3 linked regions of the Macaca fascicularis genome follow. The protein of the gene in region 2 interacts with the protein of the main gene of each other region in a pairwise test. Links are inferred from orthologs where the notes say so. Each region holds a gene or a part of one and is shown on either strand. Other genes may lie near its edges.

The links.
Region 1: the proteins of DDI1 (region 2) and KLHL42 interact in binary tests that used the Homo sapiens proteins (3 or more experiments, as listed by UniProt). The two-hybrid records come from large-scale screens. The link is inferred for Macaca fascicularis from reciprocal best matches to the Homo sapiens genes DDI1 and KLHL42.
Region 3: the proteins of DDI1 (region 2) and CYGB interact in binary tests that used the Homo sapiens proteins (3 or more experiments, as listed by UniProt). The two-hybrid records come from large-scale screens. The link is inferred for Macaca fascicularis from reciprocal best matches to the Homo sapiens genes DDI1 and CYGB.

What each region holds. Positions count from the first base shown.
Region 1 is NC_088385.1:30,541,796-30,544,906, forward strand, and holds part of KLHL42 (kelch-like protein 42), read left to right. Parts: intron 1-421; coding exon 422-873; 3' UTR 874-3,111. UniProt on the Homo sapiens protein: Substrate-specific adapter of a BCR (BTB-CUL3-RBX1) E3 ubiquitin-protein ligase complex required for mitotic progression and cytokinesis. The BCR(KLHL42) E3 ubiquitin ligase complex mediates the ubiquitination and subsequent degradation of KATNA1.
Region 2 is NC_088388.1:103,052,082-103,056,052, reverse strand, and holds the start of DDI1 (protein DDI1 homolog 1), read right to left. Parts: upstream 2,812-3,971; 5' UTR 1,497-2,811; coding exon 306-1,496; 3' UTR 1-305. UniProt on the Homo sapiens protein: Probable aspartic protease. Seems to act as a proteasomal shuttle which links the proteasome and replication fork proteins like RTF2. Required, with DDI2, for cellular survival following replication stress.
Region 3 is NC_088390.1:82,981,677-82,985,195, forward strand, and holds part of CYGB (cytoglobin), read right to left. Parts: intron 412-3,519; coding exon 180-411; intron 1-179. UniProt on the Homo sapiens protein: Probable multifunctional globin with a hexacoordinated heme iron required for the catalysis of various reactions depending on redox condition of the cell as well as oxygen availability.

The sequences.
Region 1 (3,111 bases), on a different chromosome or scaffold from region 2:
AGCTGTCAAGAATAATCTGCTTCCTGCCCAGCCTGGCTTCTGTATTAAGTAGTCGGTAATTTTGTAGCTATTGATGAGGGGTCTGAGGCACTTACTTTTTTTTACACTGACCTGGTGGTTCACGGGTGTGGAGATACCAGGGAGGAGGGGCTGTGTGAAAGTCAGAGCTGCTCTTTTTCCTGGTTTTATCCAGTCTGAGTCTCCCAAGGCAGAGACGTTTGGGAGTGAGAAGTGAGTGTGGATGGATCTAAATATATCTCTTCCCAGCCATTTTGAAAATGGTTTTCCCAAGTTGTGCTTTTTCTGAAACAGTTTTTTCTCTTTGTTACCAAATTATGCATGTAGAGTTAGACATTTCTGTACAGCCTTGCCTAGTGGCGTTAGTGGGGGCGGAGTCATCACTTGCCTTTCTTTCTTTCAGACCGGAACATGAACATTTTGCAGTACTGCCCCTCTTCCGACATCTGGACGCTGTTTGAAACATGTGACGTCCACATTCGCAAGCAGCAGATGGTGTCTGTAGAAGAGACCATCTACATCGTCGGGGGGTGTCTCCACGAGCTGGGGCCCAACCGCAGGAGCAGCCAGAGCGAAGACATGCTCACCGTGCAGTCCTACAACACCGTCACCCGCCAGTGGCTCTACCTCAAGGAGAACACGTCCAAATCGGGTCTTAACTTGACTTGTGCGCTCCATAACGACGGCATCTACATCATGAGCAGAGATGTCACCCTGTCGACCAGCTTGGAACACCGAGTGTTCCTCAAGTACAACATCTTTTCAGATAGTTGGGAAGCATTTCGGCGTTTTCCAGCTTTTGGACATAACTTGCTGGTTTCTTCTCTTTATCTGCCCAATAAAGCAGAAACATGACTGAATTGAATTAGTAGATGAAAGAAACCTGGTTCAAGATTTTTTTTAAAATGTGGTGTCCCATTCCAAGGGAGACCGATTCCTAAAGGGTAAAGAAGGGTTAAAGTAGGTCACATATATACAGTAGCAGCTGTAAATAAGCTTACTTGAATTAATTACTTGAAAACTGTTGGAAAAAAGAGACCAACTTTGTTATTTTTTAAATTATTGATTTTTAAATTATGGGAGCAAATCCATCTCCAGACATGATACTCGGGCCAATGACGGATCATCAAAATGTAGATTCATTGTGTCTGTGTGGTAAAGGGCCAAAGTCAATAATTGGAACAAATGGTAAAGATGATTTTAAAATCTGTTGTATTTAGGACCCTTGAGATGTCATTAGCACCTTAAGTGAGAGGTTTTCTTATCAATGTGCTTGACAAGCATTCATATTAACATACTCATTCTCTCTTCTCCATCACCCATACCCACACATACATCTAGTATGTTTAAAATAGGGTTCTGTGTTCAGATATTTTGTTTGCACACTACTTTTTAGGAAACTTATAATGATGGAGCCCTACAGTGAATCCTTACCAGTGTTCAGTCCTCCCCAAAACTTGGATAAAAATATTCTCAGCTATTTTTCCAGCCGTTTTTGCAGTTACAAATGCTGAATGAATAGACTGATGTAACCTTTTATTTTATTTATGTGACAGACTGCATATTTATGTGGACACATAGGTTGCATTGCTAGGCATTCTGTATGGTTTTAAAGAGGATATATTATTTAGAAAAATGGATATATGAATATTTTTAAAAATTGAGTCTTAAATTTAAATGGGAAGGGAAGAAAACACCAAATAAGAAAAAAATTTGCCTTTAAGAGTTACCTTTATTGAATGTATTTGACTTAGTTCTTATTTTAAGGCTAAAAACACTTTGTCATATTTAAGTCAGGCAACTTTCTAATTTAATCTTAGCTTTGTAATTCATGTTTTTGCTTTTGTAGACTAAGGTAAGGACAGCATTTAAATATTTGTGCTGGAGTGAGGGGAAGACTCTTACAGAAGTGGAATGGTTTCTGGTGGTATTTCTGAAGTTAGGTAAAGTGCTTTACTTGCCTTGGTTAATTGAAATAGAATTCAGCTCAAGCAGTTGTTTTCACTGAGTGAGTTAACAATAAAAGCTTCTGCCAATCATAGATCAACATTCCTCAAAATATACTCATACTTATGGAAATTTTATTTTGATTGAAAACACTCTGAAATTATGTGATATTTTGTGATGGAATCAGTTAAACTGTGAGCTGGATTCCATTTTTCTGCAGTAACAGCAGGCAGAACCATTTCAGTTAGCATGTGCCTCACTTTTAAGAAAGTCCCGTAGGGGGAGAAAAAACTGTCGGAACAAATTCATGCATTCAACAAACACTTACTGAGTGCCTGGAGTATGCCGTCCACTGTGCAGATGTAGGTAGGACAGGGGCTAATCACTTAGAGTTCTTCAGTTTATTAGCGGAGTCATTACAGGGTTTCTTTACAACCATGGCCTCTAGTATACTTAAAATAAGGGTCCAGTTATAAAAAGCCTATTTGCACAACTTTTTGGGAATACTTCTATTAACTAAAATGAGGTAAGCCATTATTTTGGACATAGAGATCTTTGTATCTTATCACCAAATAATCTTATCTCTAGTCTACTTAGAACTTTGTAAGGGTTTCTAAGCTGTGCCCATTTATTCCCAAATATTATGCCCTTAAAAAATAACCTCTGAACCAAAATCTTCCCAGGAATAGTACTTAATAGATTTTAATGTTAATTTATATTCATTGTAGAAATGAATTTCCAGTGACCTATAATTTCATTACATATATTTTAAAATTTAATTTATTTTAGATGATGTTAACTTTTTGTTGCTGAAAAGCTTAACGTTTTAAAGACTTAGTCCTATACATTTAGAAGATGAGTCAGTTGAATTAGTACTGGACAAACAGTTGGAGATTAGTTTGCACATAAGCACATCATATCAAATACAATATTCCAGCCAACTAGTTAATTATCTTCCTGATTACATTCATTGGGTCTGTTTGCCTAATGTTGACAATTAAATTCTTGGATCAAGTGGAGGTATGCTGTGATCCACAAAGCTCTTTTATAACCCAGGATTTGTGTGTGTGTGTGTGTGTGTGTGTGTGTGTGTGTGTTTGCATATTATAGCTCTCTTTAAGACAGACATCTAACAAGATTTTGTTA
Region 2 (3,971 bases):
ATCTGATAGGATAGTGTCTCTAAAGGAAGAAGCTGGTTTTCTTTTTCATGGATTATCTGGAAATCAGCTGGAGCCTCCAGAGCCTTCCCAGGATGTCTTTCAGTGATCTCTGGACAAGGGAAATGGAAGAGGGACCAAGACCAAGGAATCAGGATTGATGTAGTTACCCATCTGAGAACGTAGTCCCAAGGCCAGGTTTAGTTGTTACTGATGATTTTTAATGATTACATTGCCAGTGAGCTCTTACTGTATAATTTCCGGGGACCTGAGCCTCCCTCAAGGTGGTGACATATTTATAACGTGCTTTAATGCTCTTTTCGTCCTGAATCCATGACCGAATGTGTAATTTCCTTGTCCGAAGACTCATCTTTCCCATTTACCATCCTAGAGCATAAGGGCAACTCTCCCTCAGGAAGAAAGTAAGTCTGCGTGCCAGTGGTGCCGATGACTAGCACATTTTTCTTCAAATCGATGGAACATTGATGTCTCCGGAGCATATCTAGGCCTAGAAGCATATCCATGGGTTGATCCTCAAGTATGGAGAAAGAGCACTGTAAGAAATCACCTTCAATTTGAATCTGAGCTAGATGAACACGGCCAATAATTCTCTGTGTGCCCACTCCTTTAGCAACCCCAGCCCACCGTCGGTCCACCAGCCTCATGATGTTACATCGCTCGGCACAAGCCTGGCTCATAATGGTCATCTGGGCGCCAGAATCAACAAAAGCCTTCAAAGGATGCCCATTCACTTTGCAGTTAATATAGAGCATCGTCACTTGTCCGAAACTCTCGGGGGCCTCTTCTATCGCTATATTCATGTTTTCTTCAATGTTCTGCTGCCGGATTTCCTCTTCTATTTTGGCCTGAGCTTCCCGGTCCAGGGGGTCGGCCGTGTAGAGATGAAGCCTCTCTTGCTCTCTCAAGGCCTTTTCCCTTTGCTGCGCCATCAGCACCTGAGAAAAGGTCTCAAGGCTTCCGCTGAGCAGGGCTTCCGCCAAGGGGGGGTTGCGTTCCTTGAGCAGCGACAGATCGTGCGGGTTGGAGAGCAGCATGCTGCGGATCAGGCCGGGGCTGCCCAGACCTTGCGGGACGCCCACCGTCTCTCCGGAGGCCAGGCCATGAGACCGCTGGGCGGCGGGTGTGCGCTGCTGCTGCTGCCCTGGGTGCTGCGGGCGGGAGCTGGACGTCCCGGGCACCGCAATGCCGCTGAAGTCTATACGAGGCTGGTTCGGGGCACGCCCTGGAGCCCGGGGTCCCACATTGTCCTTCTGCAGTAAAACCACGACATCGCCATCTTTGAGGCCGTAGGAGCCCAGGGAACAGTGGTCCTCGATGAGGAGTCGCTCCATGTGGATGATCTGGATCTCTTCGGCGGGGACTCTGGACTCCGCCTCGCAGAGGACCTTGAAGTTTCGGAGCTCAAAGTCGGGGCTGACCTGGAGGGAGAAGGTGGCCTCGGAGAGGTCCCTCCGCACGCAGTACACGGTGATCAGCATGGCGAGGGCCCAGGCGGGCCAGGCGGGCAGAGGGCATGGGCGGCTCGCTGGCGGGCTGGGGCGGGCCTGCGTCGTTGGCGCCGCTGCTCCTCACGACTCCGTAGGTCGGGACCCCTCGGGCTCATTCACCTCTCAGAGAGGAGCGGACACTCATCTGTCTGGGGGCTGCCTCCCAGCCTCAGTGCCTGCCGTGTGGCCAGGTGGAGCCTTGAGGTAGCACGTTGTGTTCCAAAGTCCATTTGTAAGTGCGCGGTTTGGAACCTAGAATGCCTACTCCCATGGAAACACAATGGCTCAAAGCTGTCAGGTTTCAAGGCCAGCCCTTGGAAGCCTATTTAACACATGATATGAAAGAAATGACCTCAACACATTTTTTTTTTTTTTTTTTTTTGAGACAGGATCTTATCCTGTCACCCAGGCTGGCGTGCTGTGGCATGATCACAGCTCACTGTAGCCTCGACCTCGTGGGCTCAAGCAGTCCTCCTTTCTCAGCCTCCTGAAAAGCTGGAACTACAGGCACAATCTACCATGCCCGGCTAATTGTTGTATTTTTTTTTTAATAGAGATGGGGTCTCACTATGTTGCCAGGGCTGTGTTTTTTTGTTCGTTTGTTTTTTAATAGAGACGGGGTCTCACTATGTTGCCCGGGCTGGCCTCCGACTCCTGGGCTCAAGCAATCCACCACACTTCGGCCTCCCAAAGTGTGAGCCAATGTGCCTGGTTTTTCAATACTTTCTAAACAGCATATTATCATTCGTTTTGTTCATATTAGAGTTGTATTCTTTGTACTTTTGTTTTTTCCCCAAACAGTAAGGATTTGTTTCTTGGCGTGGCAAGTACCATCGTATGTGCACAGTAGGAAAGTCAGACTTGGAGCCTGCCCTTGAGGAGCTCACATTTCTGGAAAGGGATAGACAGGTGAATGGGTAATCACAATACTAAAGGCAAAACTTTTACAAAGACATTTTCAGGGTACTTACTGCCTTCAGTATCACCAACAGAACAGAGGATGTTTTCCTAAGGAGGAGACAAGCTGGATGTTGAAGGATGAGCATGTTTCAGGTGAAAAGTGGTCTCACTCCAAAGGAAAGCCGTTTCATGTTACAAAAGCAGGAATTTATGGCAAGGACTGTTATTTCTAGAGAAAGATGAGACATTTTATGCAATAAAATAATGTACATGACTTTGAGTACCAGGATATGAAACTGGAAAAAAATTAGTTGGAGCCAATGTATGAAGTCATATATGAATCTAAGGAGTTTAAATATTAAATATTATCAATTAACAATAATTCCCCCTCCAAAAAAGAAAGAAAAAAGAAGTAGGGAATGAAAGGAAAGGGAAAAGATTTGAAGCAGGTATTTGTGATTTTTTTTTTAAATTGACTTAAGGAAGAGGCTTCTTGCAACACATGGAGGACATAACGTGGCAGGAGGGCCAGGTAGCAGGCTTTTCCGGTGGTTCAAAGAGGGAGCTGTTGCTAGAGTGTGGAAATGTCAGGAGGACTGAAGCCAAAGCAGTAGAGAAGAAACATGTTTCTTGAGTAAAATGGACAGAATGTGCATACATACCCCTTGGAGGTGGGGAGTGTAAAAGAAATGGAGTGTGTGGATAACACAGAGCATCTCTAAAATGGGATATAGGGTAGATCGGCCATTGCCTTGAAGGGAGTGAATGAATGAGATGAACCTTTGAGGTGACCCACTTGACATCAGTTCTGTAGGAAAATGCATTCAGGATGCCACCCTAGAGTCCAATATGCCTCTCTCTGACACTTGGGCACAGCCACCTTCCCCCTACTCTCCCCCACCCCAACTTACACACACATGTGTACACACACACACACACACACAGGAGGCTGTCATGGTAAGGGTGAAAAGTCCTTCAAGGCAAATGATGATTGGGTAGAAATCCTTGCATGCCAGTTATTTTCCTCTATGTTTAATAAAGTGTTTTATGGCCAGGCGCAGTAGTTTCCGCGTGTAATCCCAGCACTTTGGGAGGCCGAGGCAGGCGGATCATGAGGTCAGGAGATCGAGACCATCCTGGCTAACACGGTGAAACCCTGTCTCTCCTAAAAATACAAAAAATTAGCCGGGCTTGGTGGCAGGCGCCTGTAGTCCCAGCTACTCTGGAGGCTGAGGCAGGAGAATGGCATGAACCTGGGAGGTGGAGATTGCAGTGAGCCGAGATTGCGCCACTGGCATCCAGCCTGGGTGACAGAGCGAGACTGCATCTCACAAAAAAGTGTATTGCACGTACAGAACTCCTGTTTCCCTGGCTTGGTCCTCTCAGGTGTACCTACTTGTGAACCAAGATAGTCAGTATCCTCTGCCTAGTCCCCCACTTCTTTAAAGTGTTGTTACAAGGACAACATTATACCATTATACCATTATGGAGAGAAGGAAGTTCACATCAGCCTAAAGAATTATTTTCTCATGCGTTTGTCTCCGATGGAAGACTATGTCTCACTCA
Region 3 (3,519 bases), on a different chromosome or scaffold from region 2:
CAGGACAAGGGTTGCCCTGGACTGAGCCCCTCCATCCTGCTGCCGGGCACTGCCCCTCCCTCTCGCAGCCACTCGTGGGATCACCTCTGCTGCCCCAGGGAGCCCTCCCAGAGCCTTCGAGCTGCAGATGGCCATGAGGTGTGGGCGGTGGTGGCTCTGCAGCAGATCGGGGCGCATACCTTGAAGTACACTGGCTCCACCTTGTGCTTGAGGGCATGGGCTTTCCCCACAAGGGCCAGCACAGAGGACACCTTGTCGGGGTCGTGCAGGTTCTCCACGACAGTGTTGAGGGCCCCCATGACTCGGCAGGCGTGCTTCCGCAGCTGGGGGCTCCGCTCCATCTCCAGGGGTTCCTCCATGTGCTTGAACTGGCTGAAGTACTGCTTGGCCGAGGGGAAGTTCACAAAGAACCTGGCAAGAGGAACAGGGGTGGTCGCTGAAGCTGGAGGCTGCCTCGGGCCCACCCTGAAGCTGCCAGGACAGTGGGGGCTGAAAAAGTGGACCCCAGTCTCCCCCACCCCTGCACCATCACTGTTTTCACTACCATCCGTAGACCTCAGCATAGACCCTCCTCGCTCTGGCCAAGCTGGCTCACCCCTACCAAGTCTGGCCGTGTCTATCTGCCAGGCTTGCTCAGGCTGGTGGCTTCCTCTCCCAGGCCCCTGTCTTCCTCGCTTCTTGCTTCCTTCCCAAACTCTACACCCTCTTCAGGGCCTGCTCTAGTCATAGCTGAGAGGGTAAGAGCTCAGGTTCTGGAACCATGAGTTGATCTGAAATTAAATCCTCTCCAGTTGGTCTGAAACTGTTCTGATTCTCCCAAGATACTGCTTTCATGAAGTCATGCTCATGCTCGAAAACATTCAATGGCTCCCTATTGTCTGCCAAAGCGAAACTCCTTAACCGGGCATTCCAGACTTCTGAACTGTCCCCCACCCACTTCTTCAAACTCATGTCCACATTCCCCACTATACTCACATCATCCCTGTCCTGGCTCAGTGGCTTTACTTACCGTTGGGAAAATGTTCCTCAGGTGAGCCACATTCCTTTCTACTACCCTTTTCCTGTGTCAGACATGCCTTACCTGGAGCAGACTGGCCCAGGCGAAATGCTTTGCCCCCGAGGCCATTGGCACCACTCAGGTGACCTTCCCTACCCTCCTTCCAGCCTGTCAGACGGGATCCCAAGGCTCTCATGCACCCTCTGACCCCCTGCCCTAGCTGGGGCACTGCAGTGTGGAAAATGACGGCTTTTTTTTTTTTTTTTTTTTGAGATGGAGTCTCACTCTGTTGTCCAGGCTGGAGTGCAGTGGTGCAATCTTGGCTCACTGCAACCTCTGCCTCCTGGGTTCAAGTGATTCTCTTGCCTCAGCTTCCTGAGTAGATGGGACTACAGGCATCTGTCACCACTCCTGGCTAATTTTTTGTATTTTTAGTAGAGACCAGGCTGGAGTGCAGTGGTGCAATCTTGGCTCACTGCAACCTCTGCCTCCTGGGTTCAAGTGATTCTCTTGCCTCAGCTTCCTGAGTAGTTGGAACTAGAGGCATCCATCACCACGCCCGGCTAGCTAATTTTTTGTATTTTTAGTAGAGATGGGGTTTCACCATGTTGGAGGCTGGTCTCAAATTCCTGACCTCAGGTGATCCGCCTGCCTCAGCCTCCCAGAGTGCTGGGATTACAGGTGTGAGCCACCACGCCCGGCCGACAATGACTTTTGTACCTCCTCTCCCTGTCGAGGTTGGACATCATGTGAGACATGGGCATGGACTCAATCAGAACTTACATAACTTAAGTGAATCCCCAGAAAATGTATGGAGTGTCCTGGACCTGTTCTTCCAGGTTGTTCTGCCCCTTCATGTGTCCCCTTTGTGATCAGAGAGAGCTGATAATTTGCGGAAGCAGCCCTTTGGCCAGGAGTCGAGTCTCAGATGTGAGGGCTAGAACAGATGTGGAGAGGGCATCTGGCCGGGTCGTCCCTGCTGGTGGTGGAGCTGCTATTGGCGGGGGAAGTTTGCACAGTGACCAGGGCACAGTCTGCGTGGAGACTCAGGAGGGCCCCTCCCAGAGGCCAACTGTGATCTTGGGCAAACTGCTTCACAAGCTCCCTGTCTGCAGAAGGGCGAGAGGAGGGCTGCGCTTACTGCTTCATGGATACACGGGTGAGGACACGTGAGGCGATGGGTTTGAAAATACATTGAATTTTCTGGAGAAGCACTGTAATGAGGGACAAATGTGAAAAACCCAATTTGGACTTAAACGAGCATCTCAAACTTTGGAGGTTTTACAATTGCAATAAAAAATAACGATATGGCCGGGCATGGTGGCTCACGCCTGTAATTCTAGCACTTTACGACGCCAAGGCGGGTGGACTGCTCGAGCTCAGGCGTTTGAGACCAGCCTGGGCAATGTGGCAAACCCTGTCTCTACAAAATACAAAAAATTAGCCACGTATGGTGGTGCACACCTTTGATTCCAGCTACTCAGGAGTCTAAAGTGAGAGGATCACTTGAACCCAGGAGGGCAAGGCTGCAGGGAGCCAAGATCGTGCCATTGCACTCCAGCCTGGGTGACAGAGTGAGACCCTGAATCAAAAGAAATAATGATAATAATAATAATAAAAGGCCAGGTGTGGTGGCTTATGCCTGTAATCCCAGAACTCTGGGAGGCCAAGGCAGGAAAATCACTTGAGGCCAGGAGTTCGAGACCAGCCTGGGCAACATAGTGAGATCCTGTCTCCAGAAAAAAAGAAAGAAATTGGCTGGGTGTGGTGGTGACCGTCTGTACTCCTAGCTACTTGGGAGGCTGCAGCAGGAAGATCCGATCGCATCATGAGCCCAGGATTGGAGGCTGCAGTGAACCTTGATGGCACCACTGCACTCCAGCTTGGGTAACAGAGCAAGACCCTGACACAAAATATTAACAATGATATATATATATATATTTGCCTGATGTGTTACAATGTTTTTGTACTTTTTCTTTTCTTTTTTCTTTTTGAGACAGAATCTTACTCTGTTGTCCAGGCTGGAGTGCAGTGGCGCAATCTTGGCCCACTGCAACCTCTGCCTACCGGGTTCAAGGGATTCTCCTGCCTCAGACTCCCAAGTTAGCTGGGATTACAGGTACCCGCCACCACACCTGGCTAATTTTTGTCTTTTTAGTAGAGACAGGGTTTCACCATGCTGGCCAGGCTGGTGTTGAACTCCTGACCTCCGGTGATCTGCCTACCTCAGCCTCCCAAAGTGCTGGGATTACAGGTGTGAGCCACCATGCCCAGCCTGTTACTGTATTTAATTGCCACAGCTAAGCAGGTATTACTTCTATTTTACTGATGAGGAAAGAACAGGGAACATTTATTGAGCACTTACTGTATGATCTCACAAATCCTTGCAATTCTCTCCTGAGATAGGCACTGTTTTAATCCCCATTCTATGAATTAGGAATTGATGTCCAAGATTGCCCACCGAAGTAGATGGCAGTGCCAGGAAAGGGCCCAGGCAGGCCCTACTTTGACAGTTTCCCCAC